Linked DNA regions of Drosophila melanogaster. The protein of the gene in region 1 binds, or shares a complex with, the protein of each later gene. Each region holds a gene or a part of one and is shown on either strand. Other genes may lie near its edges. The genes, in order: sba and Asx.

Region 1 (8,892 bases):
ATGCATGCCGCCCGCACAGTGTAAGTGGTGCGATGTGATTAGATGAGATTACGGGCTCTAATCCCACATTTTCAGTCTACAACTGGGTAGAGGTGAAGACCAAGATGTGGGCCCTGAACATGGGTGGTCGCGTTAATGTTCCACCGCTGAACGAGGCGATGGCCATTGAGCTGGGAGCCAATCTGCTTGGCGAGTTCATCATCTTCTCGATCGGAGCCGGTCTTTTGATTTTCGAGTACTCACGGTTGGTAAACAGAGATCCAAAGCCATTCCAGAGCTATATTGATCCAACCACTTTCCAGTCAAACCATCAAGGAGAACAAGAAAAACGAGTTGGCGCAATCGGAGAAGATGGAACTAACCAATATGCTGACGGAGATGAACTTTCGGCTGGAGCGACAGGATGCCCAGATACGAGAAATGACGCGAGTGCTGGCTGATCTAGGTTCCATTTCCTTTCAACCGAAATCAAGTATCACGTAATCATATACCAACTCCTTACAGATTCGCGAAACATTTTCCGGTGGCACAAGGAGCCGATTCAGGAATACGTGCCCTTCGATCCCGACACGCCGGACCAGAGTGCCAGCGCCAGGAATCCGAAAAAGTTCGACAGCTTATATGACCCGCAAGGCGGTATGGCCTTCCGCGCCCTGCACTTCCTGGACACGCAGATCTTCGTGGACGGACGCAACCGCAAGGCCAAGGAGGCTCTCCAGCACCTGGATGAGGTGGCCGTGCAGCTGGAGCAGTCTCTGGGAGAGGCAGCCACCGTTGCCGTTGCCAGCTCACTGCCTACAAAAGCAGCCGACCTTTGACCAAAGCGGCAGCTAGAGCAGGATCTGGCCCTGCTCATGATGGCAGTGGCGATGGAGGAACAGTAAGGCCGCCCGCTTGTACACATTCAACCTGCAGACCATTTCATCAGTGCTAGTTATGATCAAATCGCGTGTTACCATTTCGTACTTTAAGTATAAAAGTCAATAGTATTCTATAACTATTGGACGTTTGTAGTTATATTTATTAATTTTTATTGTTACCGCAGACAAACAACTAAAGAGATGCAAAACAGTGTACAAGATGAGTGTATAAAGTGATGGATGGGTTTACTCCTGGCAGACGAGGTCCTGCAGCTGGCGCAGTTCCTCTCCAGGGGGTAGCAGATCGTCCAGATAGTCGCAAAACGACAAACAGATGGCGTACAGACTGCGTCGCACTGCGCATCGAAGCACGTTAAAGCTAGAGCTGGATATCCTTATGTTGCCTATCACGCTACTTAGCTTATCTAGCTCATTTCGCAGCTTGTTGATCGCCTTGATGATAGCAGGCAAATCGTTCTGCACTACTCCATATGGATCCTCTTTGAGCGAGGCTGCGCACACCTGAGCCAGAGCCTGAGTCATATACACTACGGGCAGGGAGTTGGCCAGCAGAAACGTCGTCTTGGCACCTTCGGGTTCGTTGAATAAGTACACAATGCCGGGAACGCGCTGTAGCAACCGTTGTAGGGACTGCTCCAACTGCGTGGATACACGCTCACACCAGTTGGGAAAATGACGGATGCCATCCGCTGGACTTTCAACAGCAACCTCGCGACTGGGCGATACAATGGGTCGAATGCCGTGTTTCTGGTTGTATTGCCGCAGCAACACCTTCTCGGCCATCAAGCTAGTTGTAAGCGATTCGGTTATCTTCGGCATCGGCAGACTCTGGGCGCACTTGAGTATACTTATCTTCTGCATCGACTCGGTTAGTTCTTCGGTAAAGCTGCCGAGAATGCTCAAGCATTGGTCGCAGAGGGAGCGCCAACTTGCTGGCCGGTTACCCGGCTCAGTCAGCTGGAATATCTCTGCCCGTTGTGGCGAGTTCTTTCGCAACGCCAGCTTGTAGAAATGATGAGCAGCAAGGCACTGCACTACATACACATTGAAAACTCCGAGACCCGCTACCAAGGTTATATCCTGTTCATGGGCAAAAGCAGCTCGCGGTTTAGTCACCACCAGTGGCAAATCCTCCGAGAGCAGAATGCCGTAAAAGCAACGCATTAGGTGCATGTTGCTCAAAATCTGTGCGGTCAGCAAATAGCCGTAAAAAAGCAGGCGCACATTGGTAACAACTCCGAAGAATCCATCCAGTCGCTCGTCCATGTCCACAGAGAGAATGTGACTAAGTCTGTGGCATACCATGGGTCCGAAAAGACAAAATACGGCGGTGTAACTGATCGTAGGCAGCAGCGAACTTAATAGAGATTTGGCCAAACTGGCGTAGAGCAGCTCTCGCATCTTCTCCGCCCGCGATTGCTCCACAATGGGAAATTCAATGGAGATCTCCTTGCGCATGTGAACGGAGACAAAGTAGTAGCAGCCGGCGGTCATACCGATGCCTAATAGATAGACATTGTAAGCACTAATGCAATCCTGGCCATAGCACTTATATTTCAGGTGTCTGGAAATAAAAGGAATCATAGGTATTGACCGAATTCAAACCAACTGTAGGTATACTTACTGATAGTCTGTGTGCAGATAGCCCGTGTAGAGCCAGGCGGTCAGCAGACCGACCAGAAGGTGGGCGAACAGAAAGAGCACCTTGCGTGGACCGTAGTGCAGGAGCCACCGGTAGCGGGTTGGGCAGTAGCGTCGCTCCGACAAGTGCTGCTGGCAAAGAATCACACCGTAGAGCACGACGGAGGCCACCAGAGGGATGCTGGCAAACCAGGTGTACCAACTGGCTACCAGACGCAGTGTTCCCGTCACCCAGGCGAGCGGATGCAACAGTTGGAAGTTCACAAACAGCAGGAACACTGTGAGCAGCAGGAATTGGATGGCCACGCTGAGGAGCACGGCGCGCAGGCAGCGGCCGAGCAGCAAGAGCTTGCAAGCGTTGCTGGAGGAGCTAGCAGACATGTTTGCGCTCCGAACTGCTAGACCATCGAGGTATCACCAATAATTTGATTTAATTCTATAGTTTTCTAATTGATTTCGCGACTAATTGCAAATATTCGACGGTTGCCGACAACGCGCGCGTTGTTGCACTTTTAAGTGTGACCGCATGCGGAAAGTGGAGCTGCCCGTAATCGATAACTCATTTGATGTTCGTAGTGAGAAACCCTAATGGAAAACGGTTTTTTGAAATTTATCTTTTTAATTACAAAGCACAATTTTGTAAATCTAGAAAGTTCACCATTAAAATGGCTCATAAAAACGTATGACTAAATTAGTATATCTTCAATTTTCGACCTAATTTAAGTTTTAGTTCTCCTTATGCTTCGGTCTCAGGTAGCACTGGAAATAAAAGTTGGCGAACATGATAAACATGATGGTCGCGGAGCAGCTGACCAGAAAGAGGGTTCCCTGCGATGCAGTGCACTGCCGCTGCATGGCGGTTAAGGCGCAATGGCCAAACATGAGGAGGAACTGCAGCATTTGCATGAGGGTCAAGTACCGCTTCCAACGCACCGTATTGCCCTTGATGGCCGAATAGTAATAGGCATACATGAAGATATGAACGAATACATTGAAGGAGCACAGGAAGAAGAGTTGACCTCCGTAGCCATAGAATCGTATTATCAAGTATCCGGCGGATGGCATCAGGACGTGGTGGAAAACGTGCAAAAACGTTATTTGCGAGTACTTCTTGCGCAGCACGCAGAACACGGTGTCAAGCAGGTCAACGATCTTGTTTATGTAGTAAGCATAGCTGATGCAGCGCTCCCAGTTCTTCAGCGGATGATCCTGCTGCAGGACAGTCATGCAGCGAAAGTTGTACGGTTGGAATACCAACATGAAGTAGTATCCCTACGGAAGAAGCTTTTATCAATTGAAGAAAAGAATGTAGGCTCAAAATTTCAACTCACGGGCAGGAGCATCATTATATTGTAGAATATCTGGAACATGTTATAGTACTTAAGCACTTTTCGCAGATTATAAGGTTCTCGATGCTCCATGAACTTCCTGCCGGCCTTAAAAACTACCAGAAGGTATCCAATGAGGATAATTATGATGGGACCGGGTCCAGTTGCCAACGGCAGCTGTTTGGAGTCCGCATAGGGCGTCCTAAATATTTCCAACATTTCTGTTACCTAATTATTGTGTACTTTTCAATTTGACAAATAAAACAACTGATGAACCGCCTTGCTGTCACGTGTTTTCTAATGAAAGCCTAAAAATATTGTATGCTTACTTCTTAATTGAGTAATTTCCCTAGGCAAGTTAGATTGATTTGTGTGCAATACCAAATTAAATAAACTTAAATAAATTTAATTGCCACTGTTATTTGGAAACAGCCTTGCCATACCGTTGGCTGATCGATAAGTCCGATATCGATTCTAGAATCGATGATATAATCTGGCATCACCGAACTATCGATTGCTCAGGTCGTAGCTTTGGCATTTTACAGACGTCCGCCTTCGGTCACATCACATTTTGTTGTTGTCGCGGTCGGAAAAGTGCACGGAGTTACGGTCGTCGATTCGTCGATTTTCCGTTAAATACAGCATACAAATTCCAAAACAAATGTGCGCACTCGCCGCCGCCGCAAACGCAGCGCAATAAGGTGTGTAATGTGTCCAATTGGCCGCAAATGAAAGTGAATAAAAGTCATAAAATTCGTGAAGTTGAAATAAAAAAAAAAATATAAATTTTGTGTGCGCGTTTGCCAATGAGAGTGAGAGAGCAGGCCAGAAAGAGAGAATGAGAGCGAGCCATAATATTGCGTGAATCGAATCGAGCGACACAAAATTGTTGTAATTAATTCATATTTAATTGGCATTTGGCGTAATCCGAGTCTGTGCATAATAAAGCCCAAAGCGAAGTGCAGTCGTCAGTTGGTTGTCGTGTGTTTGTTGTGTGTCTCTTGTAGCGTAATGCGTATTGAGGTCACTTTGTACATATTATAGCAGCAGTAAACCGCAGCATAGGCACGCGTATCGTACATGTGCCTGTGTGTGTGTGTGTGTGTGCGATTGCCCAATACCCATACCAGTGCACCGAGATAGCCACCAATGTTCGTTTTCATCCCACTGCCCAAGGCGAACAGCTGCTCTACCCCCTCCCCCTCCTCTGCCCCTTACGCTCTGCTCTCGTGTTGTTTGTGTTGTCGCTGATCGCCGGAGCAGAACCGCAGGGCAGGTGGTGGCTATTGCCCACTGTGCCGTATTGTCCACCGTGCAGCAGAGGCAAACAAACAAACAAACGAACGGGCACGCATTAATTATACTACTTAAAATATGGTCTGCAAATTGTGCTAATCTTAACAACGCAGCGGAGAGCGAATGAGTGAGACAGAGAGGGAAAGGGAGATGGGAGGTGGTGTGGGTGATGCCTCCCCCTCGCGCGCTCTCTCCTTTCCTCTCGCTCACTGCCTTCGGTGTCTTCACTTCATGCTCCATTCACCTACTTTTACGCGCTCTGCGCTCTCTGCTCACCACTTTTCACTCGATTCGCCACTGCTGACGTTCGTTTTCTGAATTCCAAATGAAGTCATGAGATTGTACACCAAAAGAAATAATCAAAACAAACACTATTAAGCACTTAAGGGCTAATGATAGCACCTTTCTATGAGCGTAGCATTACGTTACCTTGATAAAGAGCACCTTTCTGTGGTCAAATGTTGTGCCACGTAAATTAATTAAAATATTTAAAATATATGCAAAAATTTTAAACATACAGATATTTTCCTACCCGTGTACAAACAACACAATACGCATCTAAACGCAAACGTCGTTGTCGCATTATTACAGCTACAAAAGAAGCAGAGAGTGGAATACAAAATAATATCATTGCAAAAAAAAAGTGAAATTAAGTGTTTTAAACAAAAGGAAAAGAAACCATAAAAAAAACATGAACATGACATGGCCGCGTCTCGTTTACACAATAACTCAAAATTAATTTAATATGCTGGCAAATGAGCAAAGCGAAAAGCAAGCTAAAAGGTGAGCGAATAGCAGAATAAGGGGCAGAAACTTAACAACGCATAAATAACAAAAGGTGCGGCCTACGATTTGTCGTTTATACGATCGTCCAGTTAGCAGTATCTATTTAAGTGCGACTTTGGGTTTACAACCTTGTGGTTTTTCCCCTTCTTGCCGCCTTGCTGTTGCTTGTGCGTGAGATGGCGGATAAACCAGATTTAGTCCACTTCCACGTTCATTACACGCGCAGCGCATAAACCCTGATTGGCCCTCAATTCGGCTACTTTGTAAGTGGTCAACTTGTGGAGCAAAACAAAGGCCGCAACGCAATTCCATTCGATTAAAGTCAATGAGTCAACCGAAAACGTAGAAACAAAGACATGAAGACCTCCACTGTAAATAACAATAGGTTAATTGTTTAAATGCAGAGTCATGTCTGAAGAGAACGGATTTTCCAAAAAATTTTTGAATATTTGAACGCATTTATGATATTAAAAGTTTTTGCTATACAATTGGAAGCAAGCCCTTAATTAATGGGTTTATAAGAATGTGTATGGGGAATTAATTAGAGTGTGATAGAGGTTATAATGCTTATAATTCTTATTTGAATAATACTCAATGTAAATGATTATTCTCTGAATGTTCTAGTCTTGGCTGTGACTAATCCGGGAATTCCCTTGAATTCTTTGCAGGCTTTGAATTGCGAAGGAGTTCTCCTGAACGGCTGCTTTTATCGCCATGGCCGCCGCATCTGCTGGCCAGCAACAGCAGCAACATCAGCACCAGCACAAGCTGAACATAGCTGGGAGTGCTGAGACGGTGGTCAGCGGGATGCAACATCAGCAGCAACATCAGCAGCAGCATCAACAGATCAATATGTTCAAGCAGCAGCAGCAAATGTTGCCTCTGCAGCAGCAACATCATCAGTTTTTCCAGCAGCAACAAACGAAATTTGTATCGCGGGTCGTTACAAGTGCAGCGGTGCATCAGCAGCAGCAGCAACATCATCATCAGCAGCAGCAGCAGCAGCAACACCAGCAACAGCAACAGATATTACCAGCTGGCTTGGTAAACGGCAATGGCAGCGGCAACATGATGCAAGTAGCAAATCTGCATCTGCAGCAGCAACAGCAGCAGCGAAACAGTCAGCAGCACATATTTGTCTGCCCCACCAGCAACCAGCAGCTCCTTTTGCAACAGCAGCAGCAACAGCAGCAGCAGCAACAACAGCAACAAACCAAACAGCGCCAGGCGCAAATAAAGTTGCCAATAAAGTCAGCGGCAACAACGGGAGTAACGGCAGCAACTGTTGCTGCTGCAACTGCTGCTACTGGGGCAACGCATTGCATGTCGACAACAATTGCGGCGCGTCAAATGAGTCAGAACAATCAGCTCTATGCCAAGAATGTTGCCAAAGCCAACAATGCCAGTAGCAATGGCAATATCAACAGGAAGACGGCCACTAGCTACAATGGAAATTTGGCCCCCGGCTGGCGTCGCTTGACCAACAACAATGAGGTGGCCTATATCAGGTGAGTAGTCGGTTGGATAGTATCTGGGTACATCTGTGGCCACAGGATATCTCCCAGGTTGAGCATTGCTTGTTGGCTCCGTCGCTGTGCTGTGTTGTACTGACATGACACTTACAGCACGTTTGGCCGGGCCGGGCCGGGCTAAAAGTCAATCTGGTTATTGTCTGGCGAACGCAAACGCATTCGAGAAGCCATAAAAATGTTCAGCGATCCCCTCGCGCTACAGGAAATGCCACTGTCCATGGGGGTTAGCGGGGTCAGAGCCGTCAGAAGTGTGGGGGGGGGGGGGGGGCGCATGTTGTTTAGTGGGCGTCTGGGGGGTTGCAGTAGTCGTGTCAGAAATGTTTTTGCAACCAGGCACAACAGCACAACATCAACAACTAGCAACCATCAACGGCTCGAGGGTAAATATTTACCTGGCATTATCTGCGAGTTATCATCAAGCACACATAATTACAAACGCAAATAAAATGTTTGCTCAGATATGCTGAAAAGCATCGAGTATGTGGATATACATATCTGCTTGCCCGGGTACTTGTAATTGTTCTGGCTGTCCAATCGCCCCCAGGGCCAAAAAAGAGGGGCTCAGTCACAGTATTTCAGCATTTCTTCTTGTTTTCTGTTTTTTTTTTCGGGCTCTGTGCAAACTGTTGGCGATGTTGGTTTGTGGCTGTTGCCGATGTTGGGTAATTGTTGATTTTATAAGTGGCTGGCACTTCTGAGCGCTTGACTCGTCTCGTTGGGATAGTTTCCCTCGCAGCTGTTGCCCCGGGCTCATTTGCCCAGAAAAGGGTTGCCTGGCTGGCTGGTTGGTTGAATGGTCTGTGGCACTGGGATAACTGCTTTTCGAACCACTTGTACGGATTATGGATGCGAATGCGAATGCCAATGCCTCGCTCAATTGGCAGATTGAAAGCTACCAGGGGGCATGTTGTTTGTTTTTCGAGCCGAGATTCTCATTATGACAGCCATGATTATGATTATTGAGCCTTGGCACTCGACTCACGTAGTTTGGGGCGTCAAGAAGTTGCAGCTTATCCGACGCAGTCCATTTACTGGCAATGTCACATTTCACTCAACCGACCAGCCATCCAGTCAGTCAGTCACTCTCTGGGCCATTACCCTTCCAGGACACGCTTTGAGGGCACCGCTGGCTGCCACGTTCACGTCCTCGCCATCAACGTCCTTTGCCCACTGGTATTTACTTGTGCCCGGTGACAACACGACATCGTGTGTCAAGCGTTGTCATTGTCCACCACCAGCAGAAGCAACTACAGCAGCAGCAGCAGCTGCTGCTCATTTCCACGTTGCGTGTTGCTGGTTGCTATTTGCTGTTTGCCCAAGCGGATGGATGGTCGCCATGGCCCCCTTTGCAAATTTTCGAGTTGAGCATTCTTTTTCGTGTATCCGTAAGCCAGTTAGCCCGTTGGTTTGCCAGCGGTGTATTCTGAA
Region 2 (8,668 bases), on another chromosome or scaffold:
GGCAGAGCTCCAGCACCAACTGCTCCACTGACCAACAGCTCCTCTTGCTTTAATACATTTTGTGGGGGTGCTGCTGCGACTGCAGCTGCCATGCTACCCGTGGCCGTCGTTATGTTGGACATGGGTGTGGCAGCCACCGTTGATACATTCAAGGTCACAGGGTTTATAGGTGCTGGCGCAGTGGTTGTCGTCGGCTGATGTTGGTTGAGAATCGCCGCAGGCGGTCGCAACTGAGCCTTGAGATTCTCGCGGTTTGGACTATTCTGGATAACAGCCTGGCAGATTTGATAGCTACGCTCCAGATTTACTGCACCCGGTGGTAACCTATTGCTGGTTGCTTTGCGCCCTTTTCCCGTTGGCATTTTTGGCTGCAATCTTTGCTGGGCAATGGTGGTTGGCACTCCCGATGGTGGCAGAGTTTTCATAGTCAGCACGTTGGGTAACTGCTGCATATTACTGTTGTGATTTGCCAACTGTTGTTGTTGGACTGTCTGCTGCTGAGGGGCAGGTACTGGCGGAGATTGCTGCTGTTGCGCGCCCGTCACAGCAACAACATTGGCATAGGCGGACGGAATAGATGCGGTATTTGCCGTCGTTGCTGCTGTGGTAGGTGATGCATTGGCAGGACGCGTCATTGAGATGATATTTAGTGGCTTTGCTATGAATTTAGCCTGTGTTGTTGGTAGTGCAACATTTTGCTGCTGTTGTTGCTGCTGTTGTAGCAGATTGTTGTTGGCGGCCTGGGCGAGAAGTTGTCGCTGGTGTAGTTGCGCCTGCTGCAAGGCAAACTGCTGAATCTGCTGATGCTTTTGTTGTGCCGTAGCCTGCTGTTGATGTTGCTCCAGTTGTTGCTGCTGCTGCTGCTGATGTTGCTGTGCGATCAGGTTAGGAGACAAGAACTGTTGGGTTCCGTTGCGGAGAGCCACTGGTAATGTCTTGCCCAAGGAATTGCTACTTGTTGCTTGCTGTTGCTGCTGCTGCTGTTGCTGGTGCTGTTGTTGTTGTTGCTGCTGCTGCTGTGCTGCCGCCGCCTGCAGCGTGAACTGTTGTAGTAGTTGCTGTTGCTGTTGTTGGCGTTGCTGCTGAAGCAAAAAGTTGCCAATTATCTGACCATTGGAATCCACCAATATCTGTCTTTGCTGCTGTGCATTGGACTGAGCGTTCTGTTGCGGCTGTTGCGATGCTTGGTGCGGCATTTGATTAATGGTAAGACTGTTGGTGCTGCTGCATAGGCTTATGTTGTTGCTGCTGTCGTTGCTATTGCTACTATTGGTTATCACCGTGCTGGACACTTCCATTTCGGCAGCAGACATTGGTACAGCATCACAGAGCATTTCCTGGCCGATCTAGAAATGGGTGTTAAAACAAAAATGTATGTTAAAACTGCATTTTGGTAATGTTTTCATTGTCTGGACTCACATCATTTCCAAATTCACTATGGGCCTGCGGCATAAACGAATGCTGAGCCAATTGGACGACATCCTGGATATGCAACTGTTGATGATGCTGCTGCTGATTTTGTTGCTGCTGATGCTGCTGCAGTTTGTCCACTATTTCACGGACAGCTTCGCTGTCTTCATCAATTAACTGCTGTTCCTCCGTCATACATTCTACCACTTCATCGTCTTCATCCTCCTCTTGATCACCCTCATCTTCGTCACCGAGAACATCGTGGCACACATCATTGTGCATAATGTCGTCGATGACGTCGGCATCTTGCACTACATCCATCAGATCGATTGCTTCATGGCTTAGATTACGCTGCTGATCTCCGCTTGACTGCGAACTGCTTAACTTAATGTCGCCAAAGTTCCAATCGTGCTGCACATGCTGGTACATTTCATTGGAGTTCAACTCCACGGGTAACTCCTGTTGCTGCTGCTGTAACTTGGCCACAGTTGAAAGCATGGCTTGGACATTTGCCAACGTAGTTTCAGCTGCTGCTGCCAGCGTCAGTGGAGCCGTTGGTGCTCCGGCCGACGATGAAGTTGTGGGCGCGGTCGTCGTCGAGCCGGAATTGCTACTGGAGCACGAAGATGACATTGAGGCGGAGGAAGATGAGGACGATGTGCAGCTGGTCGATGTAATCGAACTGGCCGGCGTCGACCCAGAAATTGAGCTTGCAATGGGGAGCGGTGAGTCCTCCGGCTTATCACTATGCTCTTCCAGTTTATTAGCTGCAGTTGTCGCCGCTGCAAAGAAAACGTGTCATTTTACATTCTTTCAATGCATAAAAATAACTCTGATTACTGTTGGACGATGAAGATGAAGTGAAGAAGTTGTGATTGATAGTGGATTGATGTTCTTGAAAATAGGCTGCTTAAAACCAAAAAACAAGAAACATTAGTTACTTATTCTGGCAATTATACTAGACGAACATACCGTGATCGATAGTATCTGAGAAAACGAAATCATGGCTATTTGTTCCTGTCGTTATATCTGCCTCGTTTGAATTGTCCAAAGGCGCTTTGGTTTCTGCAATAATAGTAATGCCAATTTAAATAAGCCATTTATATGGGTGGAGTACTCTTAATATAGCTAATGCAATGCTATCTATATTGTTCGCTCTGAATAGCTCTTACTTACCAGCTGCTAGTTCGACGTTTTGTAAGTAGCTTACAAATTGGTTAGCCACATCCGGATTTGGTGCTAACGCTTCCGGCTTTGGTGTATGTGGGGTAACGGCAGCAATTGCTGGCATGGCAGCCGCCGATGCAATGGAGTCCACATCTTCCTTAGAATCCACTTGTTTCATGGCAACGATCATCTCCTTACTGCATTCAGATGGCTCAATTTTATCACAGGTACTGTTGATAAGTGGCTGATGTTGTCGCTGATGCTGTTGCTCGTCCTTGATTTTCATTTCGACTGCAGAGTGATCCACAACATCAACCATTGGAGCTGCGACAACATTCCCTGACGCATTAGGAACAATTTCGTCCATCTTCGGCTGCTTGCTGTCCTTTGATGTGCTGGGCAGCTCGTCGAGATCATCGTCCAAATTAATGGTCGCTATCGTTGTGGGTGCCTGCTTGCGCTGCGAAGGACTGCTCGATGGACGTTTGAGGACACGGCGTTGCTGTTCGTTAAGCACATTATTCTGGCTGCCAGTGGGTGGAAACGTGCTTGATTTATCTGCTACTGCCACTGCTACTGTAGTTTTAGCTGATGTCGTTTCGCACTTTGTGCTCTGCAAGTTTTTCAATAATATAACTGGGATATAAATAATGGGGAATATTTGGTAACTTACCAAATCAAATTTTAATTCAGTCTCATTATCACATGTTGCTTGTTGCAGTGGTTTTTGTTGCGATGTCGCTGGTGGTTTGGGCTCACTCTTAATGCTTGCCGAAAGCTTCTGATTCTTGCAATCGCTTTCTAACTTATCCTTATCCTTCCCCCTAGAATTCTTCTCGCCCCAGAAGGGCTCAAAGTGTTTCAGCTTCCAGGGATCCAACTTGTTCTTTTCGCGCTCTGCTTCCGTTTTAAGTTTCAGCTGGTTTTCGGGTGTAAACTCGCCTTCGCTTAGTCGTTCCCGCCACTCCAAGCAGGCTCGGGCAAAAAACTCGTTGTTTAGACAGGAGGCACTTAGCCTTATAGCCTCCGATGGACTGCCTCCACTTGCGCTACTGCTAGGTTGCTCTAGTTCGCTGGCCTCGCGATCCACGCTGGGCAGCAGTTGTATGAGATTGTATTGATAGAGCGGTGGCAAAAGCGAGAACGTTTGCTTGTTCAACAGCGCTCTTAAGTTGGTGGAGGCCAGTATGGAGTCGGGGGTCTCCAGGTCGATCTTTCCGTCTTTTGTTTGCTCAATCTGCGCTGCTGTCGTCAGCTTCTTATTGCTCCTCCGACGGGGCTTAACACTAAAACCGGGTATGGAGGCCAGGACCTCCCGCATGGTCGAAGCTTGAGAGGTGCCCGCCTTGCTGCCGGGTGAGATGGCGGATGGATAGCTGGAGGTGGCTTGGGCTTGTGCTGCGGCCGCTGCTGCTGCTGCTGCCGCCGCTGCTGCCGCCGCCGCTGCTGCTGCCGCTTTGACCTGTTGCTGTTGCTGAATGCGTCGGCTGCATATTAAACGCGTGGGCGGGGCAGGAGCAGTACTGACGGCAGCCTCTTCGCTGGGCGCCATCGGTTTCTTCTCAGGTGGTATTGGTTTCACGATAATGCGTGGCAGGTGGCGTCTGGAATAAAATTAGTATAGAAATTTAGAGATTCTCGTGGCGCTCGGGTAAATCGTTTTAGAACTAACCTGAGACTGTGTGTGTGCTTGGTAGACGGTGACACTTCCAGTTGCTCCAGCGCAAGAGGATCCTTCTCGTCGTCGTCCACCAGATTCACATGCTCCATTATCATCGTAGGCGGTGGAGCGGCCAACAGGGATTGCTGCTGCAGCATCGGCTGGTGATGCTGATCCGCTTGTGGAATGAGAAGTTGTTGGTGCTGCGACGACGTCGTCGTCGTCGTATCCGGCGTAATGGTTTTCATTGTTAATCGCTCTGCCTAATCTATTTACAGCGAACTTTTGATCCATGCACCCATGTCAAGCAAGTTTCTTCCGCACACACTGGAAATGTTGAGAAATAGATAATTTAATATTATTTTTTTGTTAACAATGAAATAGTTTTGTTATGTGATGGTTTATTTGGATATAAATTAAAAACAGAGCATTAATTCTTTACTTTAAATTGCTTGGCAACTTGACAATGATCATATACAAATGCAAAATGATGTGTAACAAAAATGAATGTAACTTCTTATAGTTTTCAAATTTAAATTTGTTTATTTGATTTATCCGTGTTGGGGTTCAGCCAATATTGCTTGTTTTTAACATTTTCAAGCTTCCCAGTCGATTTTAGATGCCATATTAGATGGCAAAACTAGTTTTTGGTTAATACTATAGTGCACGAAATTAATCCTGATCGGCTGCACTAACGAATTGTCCATTTTAAGGCAAAAAGTGTCTGTATAATTTTAACGTTGCGCCCTTTGTATATGTATGTACGTCATCTGTGTGCATGTATGTGCGCATATATTTCGTTAGAAGTGTGTGCGTGTGTTTTATTTTTTTATATGTAATGAAATTGCGGCTATACGGAGATTTTTCCGTTTGTTATGCCTTAGTTTTAATTATTGTTTTTGTTTTCCTCACGACTTTTCTCACTTGCCAGCAGTAATTTTAAACAAATCAACAATGTAACAGCAGTAACAACAACAAATACGAACGACCTGCAAAGTTGGTTATATTTTTTTCTCACGCACGCATACACATACACACAAACACACACAAATGCACACTAGCACATCGGAGAAGTAGAAAAATGACTTTTGTTCCTATTTAAGTAACTAATTGCGGGTATTTTACCTATTTATGGTACGGATTTAGATCTGTACTAGAGCACTATCTTTTGCATAATGCCGATTTCCGCCTCGTTAATGGCTCACTAAATTAAATATTGAATGGGGGAAATGTGAATGCCAAACACACAAACAAAGCAGCTACAAAATGATTCTTTTCTAGCCAACTATGCCGGTCCCTTTCTGGCGCACGCGTTTTCCCGTATCGGGCGCAGCGCCCGTTTCTCTCTCACACTCACTATGCAGAAAAGCTGCGTTTAATTGAATGAAATTGTTTAAGTTACTACAACGCAAACACTAGTCACTAATCACACCAACTAGTTAATGTTTTTTCGTGGCCAGTTTTAAACGCAAAACGCTCGAATTTCTGGCTGCCCTGCCAAGTCCGATGGGGTTGTTGATGTCGCATCCGATACATCGGATAGGAGCGGATGTATTTGCGCAGTCACTGCTCCCGCACCAGGGCTGCCAACTATCGATTGAACGATCAGGTCAAGAAGTAGCTAGAAATAAGCTGGCAAATATGAAGCGTTACGTACGTAGCGGTTATTTGATTTTAAGTTATGTTACATTTACGTACATATATAATATAATTGTATAACGTGTGCATACAAAATAATTGTTATAAAAATATACAAGCTCTAAGACCAAAATGCACTATAAATAATTTCTAAATGTTTAGACTCGTAACTTATGCAAATACGTAACATACGTATCATTTTACATGTTCAGATAAAAAAATATAGCTTTTATTTGGTCAAATACATTTTGCAAGATATTAACTAACGAAATACTTAAAAACCGCTAAAACAAAAAGCAAGACAAAAATCAAGCCAATATGGTATTCCACCCACTAAAACGGCGAACAAGTTTTCACATCCAATGAGCGATAACTTTGCACCCACAATCGATAGTTCCGCAGCTGCTGTGTGTGTTGGGCCGGCAAATTGTTAAACTGGCTGAAATTGTTAATAATGTTTTAAGAAATTGCGACACCAATTAAACCACCGCAATGTTTTCGATGTGCAAGCAGACGCACTCCGCCACGGCGGTGGAGTTTTCGATAGCATGCCGCTTCTTTAACAATCTGGATGAGAACCTGGTGGTGGCGGGCGCCAATGTACTAAAGGTGTACCGGATAGCGCCCAACGTGGAGGCGAGCCAGCGTCAAAAGCTGAATCCCAGCGAGATGCGTCTGGCGCCCAAAATGCGACTGGAATGCCTAGCCACATATACGCTCTACGGCAATGTGATGTCGCTGCAGTGCGTCTCATTGGCGGGTGCCATGCGGGATGCGCTGTTGATTAGTTTCAAGGACGCGAAATTGTCCGTACTGCAGCACGATCCCGATACGTTTGCGCTGAAAACTCTCTCACTTCACTATTTCGAGGAAGATGACATACGTGGTGGTTGGACGGGTCGCTATTTTGTGCCCACAGTTCGCGTAGATCCCGATTCCAGGTGTGCCGTCATGTTGGTCTACGGCAAACGGCTGGTGGTACTGCCCTTTCGCAAGGACAACAGCCTGGACGAGATCGAGCTAGCGGATGTGAAGCCAATTAAAAAGGCTCCGACGGCAATGGTCAGCAGGACGCCTATTATGGCATCGTACCTGATAGCACTGCGAGATCTTGATGAGAAGATCGACAATGTTCTGGACATACAATTCCTGCACGGCTACTACGAACCAACGCTGCTTATACTCTACGAACCGGTGCGAACCTGTCCGGGAAGAATAAAGGTGCGCTCCGATACTTGCGTTTTGGTGGCCATTTCGTTGAACATTCAACAGCGAGTGCATCCGATTATTTGGACCGTGAACAGTCTACCTTTTGACTGCCTACAAGTGGGTGTTTGAAAATGCCACTTACCTTTTAGGAGTCACAACGTTTAATGTGTCATTTTTCCCTTGCAGGTTTACCCGATTCAGAAGCCAATTGGGGGTTGTCTGGTAATGACAGTCAATGCTGTAATCTATCTCAATCAGAGTGTCCCTCCATATGGCGTCAGTTTAAACAGTTCAGCGGATAACAGCACCGCATTTCCACTGAAGCCACAGGATGGCGTTCGTATTAGTTTGGATTGTGCTAACTTTGCATTTATTGATGTCGACAAGCTGGTAATCTCGCTTCGCACTGGAGATCTATACGTGCTTACGCTTTGCGTTGACTCAATGAGAACGGTTAGGAACTTCCATTTCCACAAAGCAGCCGCCAGTGTGCTAACTAGTTGTATCTGCGTTCTGCACTCCGAATACATATTTTTGGGATCACGTCTCGGAAATTCCTTATTGCTGCACTTTACAGAGGAGGACCAGAGCACGGTCATTACGTTAGATGAGGTGGAACAGCAATCGGAGCAGCAGCAAAGGAATCTGCAGGACGAGGATCAGAATTTGGAGGAAATTTTTGATGTAGATCAATTGGAAATGGCACCGACCCAAGCAAAATCGCGTCGTATTGAGGATGAGGAACTAGAGGTTTGTAAACAATATACTTAAAGTTTTGAATTGTTTTTAAATTTGATCGTTTTTACAGGTGTATGGTTCTGGAGCTAAGGCATCGGTTCTTCAGCTGCGAAAATTCATATTTGAGGTGTGCGACAGTCTAATGAATGTAGCACCAATCAACTACATGTGCGCCGGAGAAAGAGTGGAATTCGAAGAGGATGGCGTTACGTTGCGACCACATGCGGAATCTCTGCAAGATCTAAAGATAGAACTAGTCGCTGCCACGGGTCACAGCAAAAACGGAGCTCTGTCCGTATTTGTAAACTGCATTAATCCTCAAATCATAACAAGCTTTGAGTTAGATGGGTGCCTCGATGTGTGGACTGTGTTTGATGATGCCACTAAGAAGTCTTCGCGAAATGATCAGCATGATTTCATGTTGCTTTCACAAAGGAATTCTACATTGGTTTTACAAACAGGACAGGAAATTAATGAAATCGAGAATACGGGCTTTACGGTTAACCAGCCGACCATATTTGTCGGTAATCTCGGACAGCAGCGGTTCATTGTTCAGGTTAGTTTGAGGTCGTATTAATGGTATTTTGTATATAATTATTTCTTTATTCATTAGGTCACCACCCGTCATGTCAGATTATTGCAAGGAACTCGATTAATTCAAAATGTCCCCATTGATGTGGGCTCGCCAGTGGTACAGGTGTCCATAGCAGATCCCTACGTTTGCCTGCGAGTGCTCAACGGTCAGGTTATCACATTAGCGCTGCGAGAAACCCGTGGAACTCCTCGTTTGGCTATCAACAAGCATACCATTAGCAGCTCACCCGCAGTGGTTGCCATTTCGGCATA

What was found.
Region 2: sba (region 1) and Asx share a complex: the UniProt entries of both Drosophila melanogaster proteins name them as parts of the polycomb repressive deubiquitinase (PR-DUB) complex.

What each region holds. Positions count from the first base shown.
Region 1 is NT_033777.3:23,918,555-23,927,446, reverse strand, and holds the start of sba (six-banded), read left to right. Parts: upstream 1-4,473; 5' UTR 4,474-4,551; intron 4,552-5,666; exon of another isoform or gene 5,667-5,929; intron 5,930-6,600; 5' UTR 6,601-6,646; coding exon 6,647-7,440; intron 7,441-8,892. Other genes in the region: CG13601 (uncharacterized protein), read left to right, coding at 1-20, 76-244, 303-445, 505-818; Ndc1 (nuclear division cycle 1), read right to left, coding at 1,107-2,445, 2,506-2,903; CG31141 (uncharacterized protein), read right to left, coding at 3,249-3,794, 3,854-4,069. UniProt on the Drosophila melanogaster protein: Non-catalytic component of the polycomb repressive deubiquitinase (PR-DUB) complex, a complex that specifically mediates deubiquitination of histone H2A monoubiquitinated at 'Lys-119' (H2AK118ub1). Important for maintaining stability of the PR-DUB complex.
Region 2 is NT_033778.4:14,501,064-14,509,731, reverse strand, and holds the start of Asx (additional sex combs), read right to left. Parts: upstream 5,506-8,668; 5' UTR 5,363-5,505; exon of another isoform or gene 5,162-5,362; intron 4,648-5,161; exon of another isoform or gene 4,565-4,647; 5' UTR 4,486-4,564; coding exon 4,250-4,485; intron 4,182-4,249; coding exon 3,251-4,181; intron 3,191-3,250; coding exon 2,587-3,190; intron 2,476-2,586; coding exon 2,383-2,475; intron 2,320-2,382; coding exon 2,251-2,319; intron 2,193-2,250; coding exon 1,420-2,192; intron 1,347-1,419; coding exon 1-1,346. Other genes in the region: Cpsf160 (cleavage and polyadenylation specificity factor 160), read left to right, coding at 6,368-7,201, 7,271-7,834, 7,893-8,378, 8,436-8,668. UniProt on the Drosophila melanogaster protein: Non-catalytic component of the polycomb repressive deubiquitinase (PR-DUB) complex, a complex that specifically mediates deubiquitination of histone H2A monoubiquitinated at 'Lys-119' (H2AK118ub1).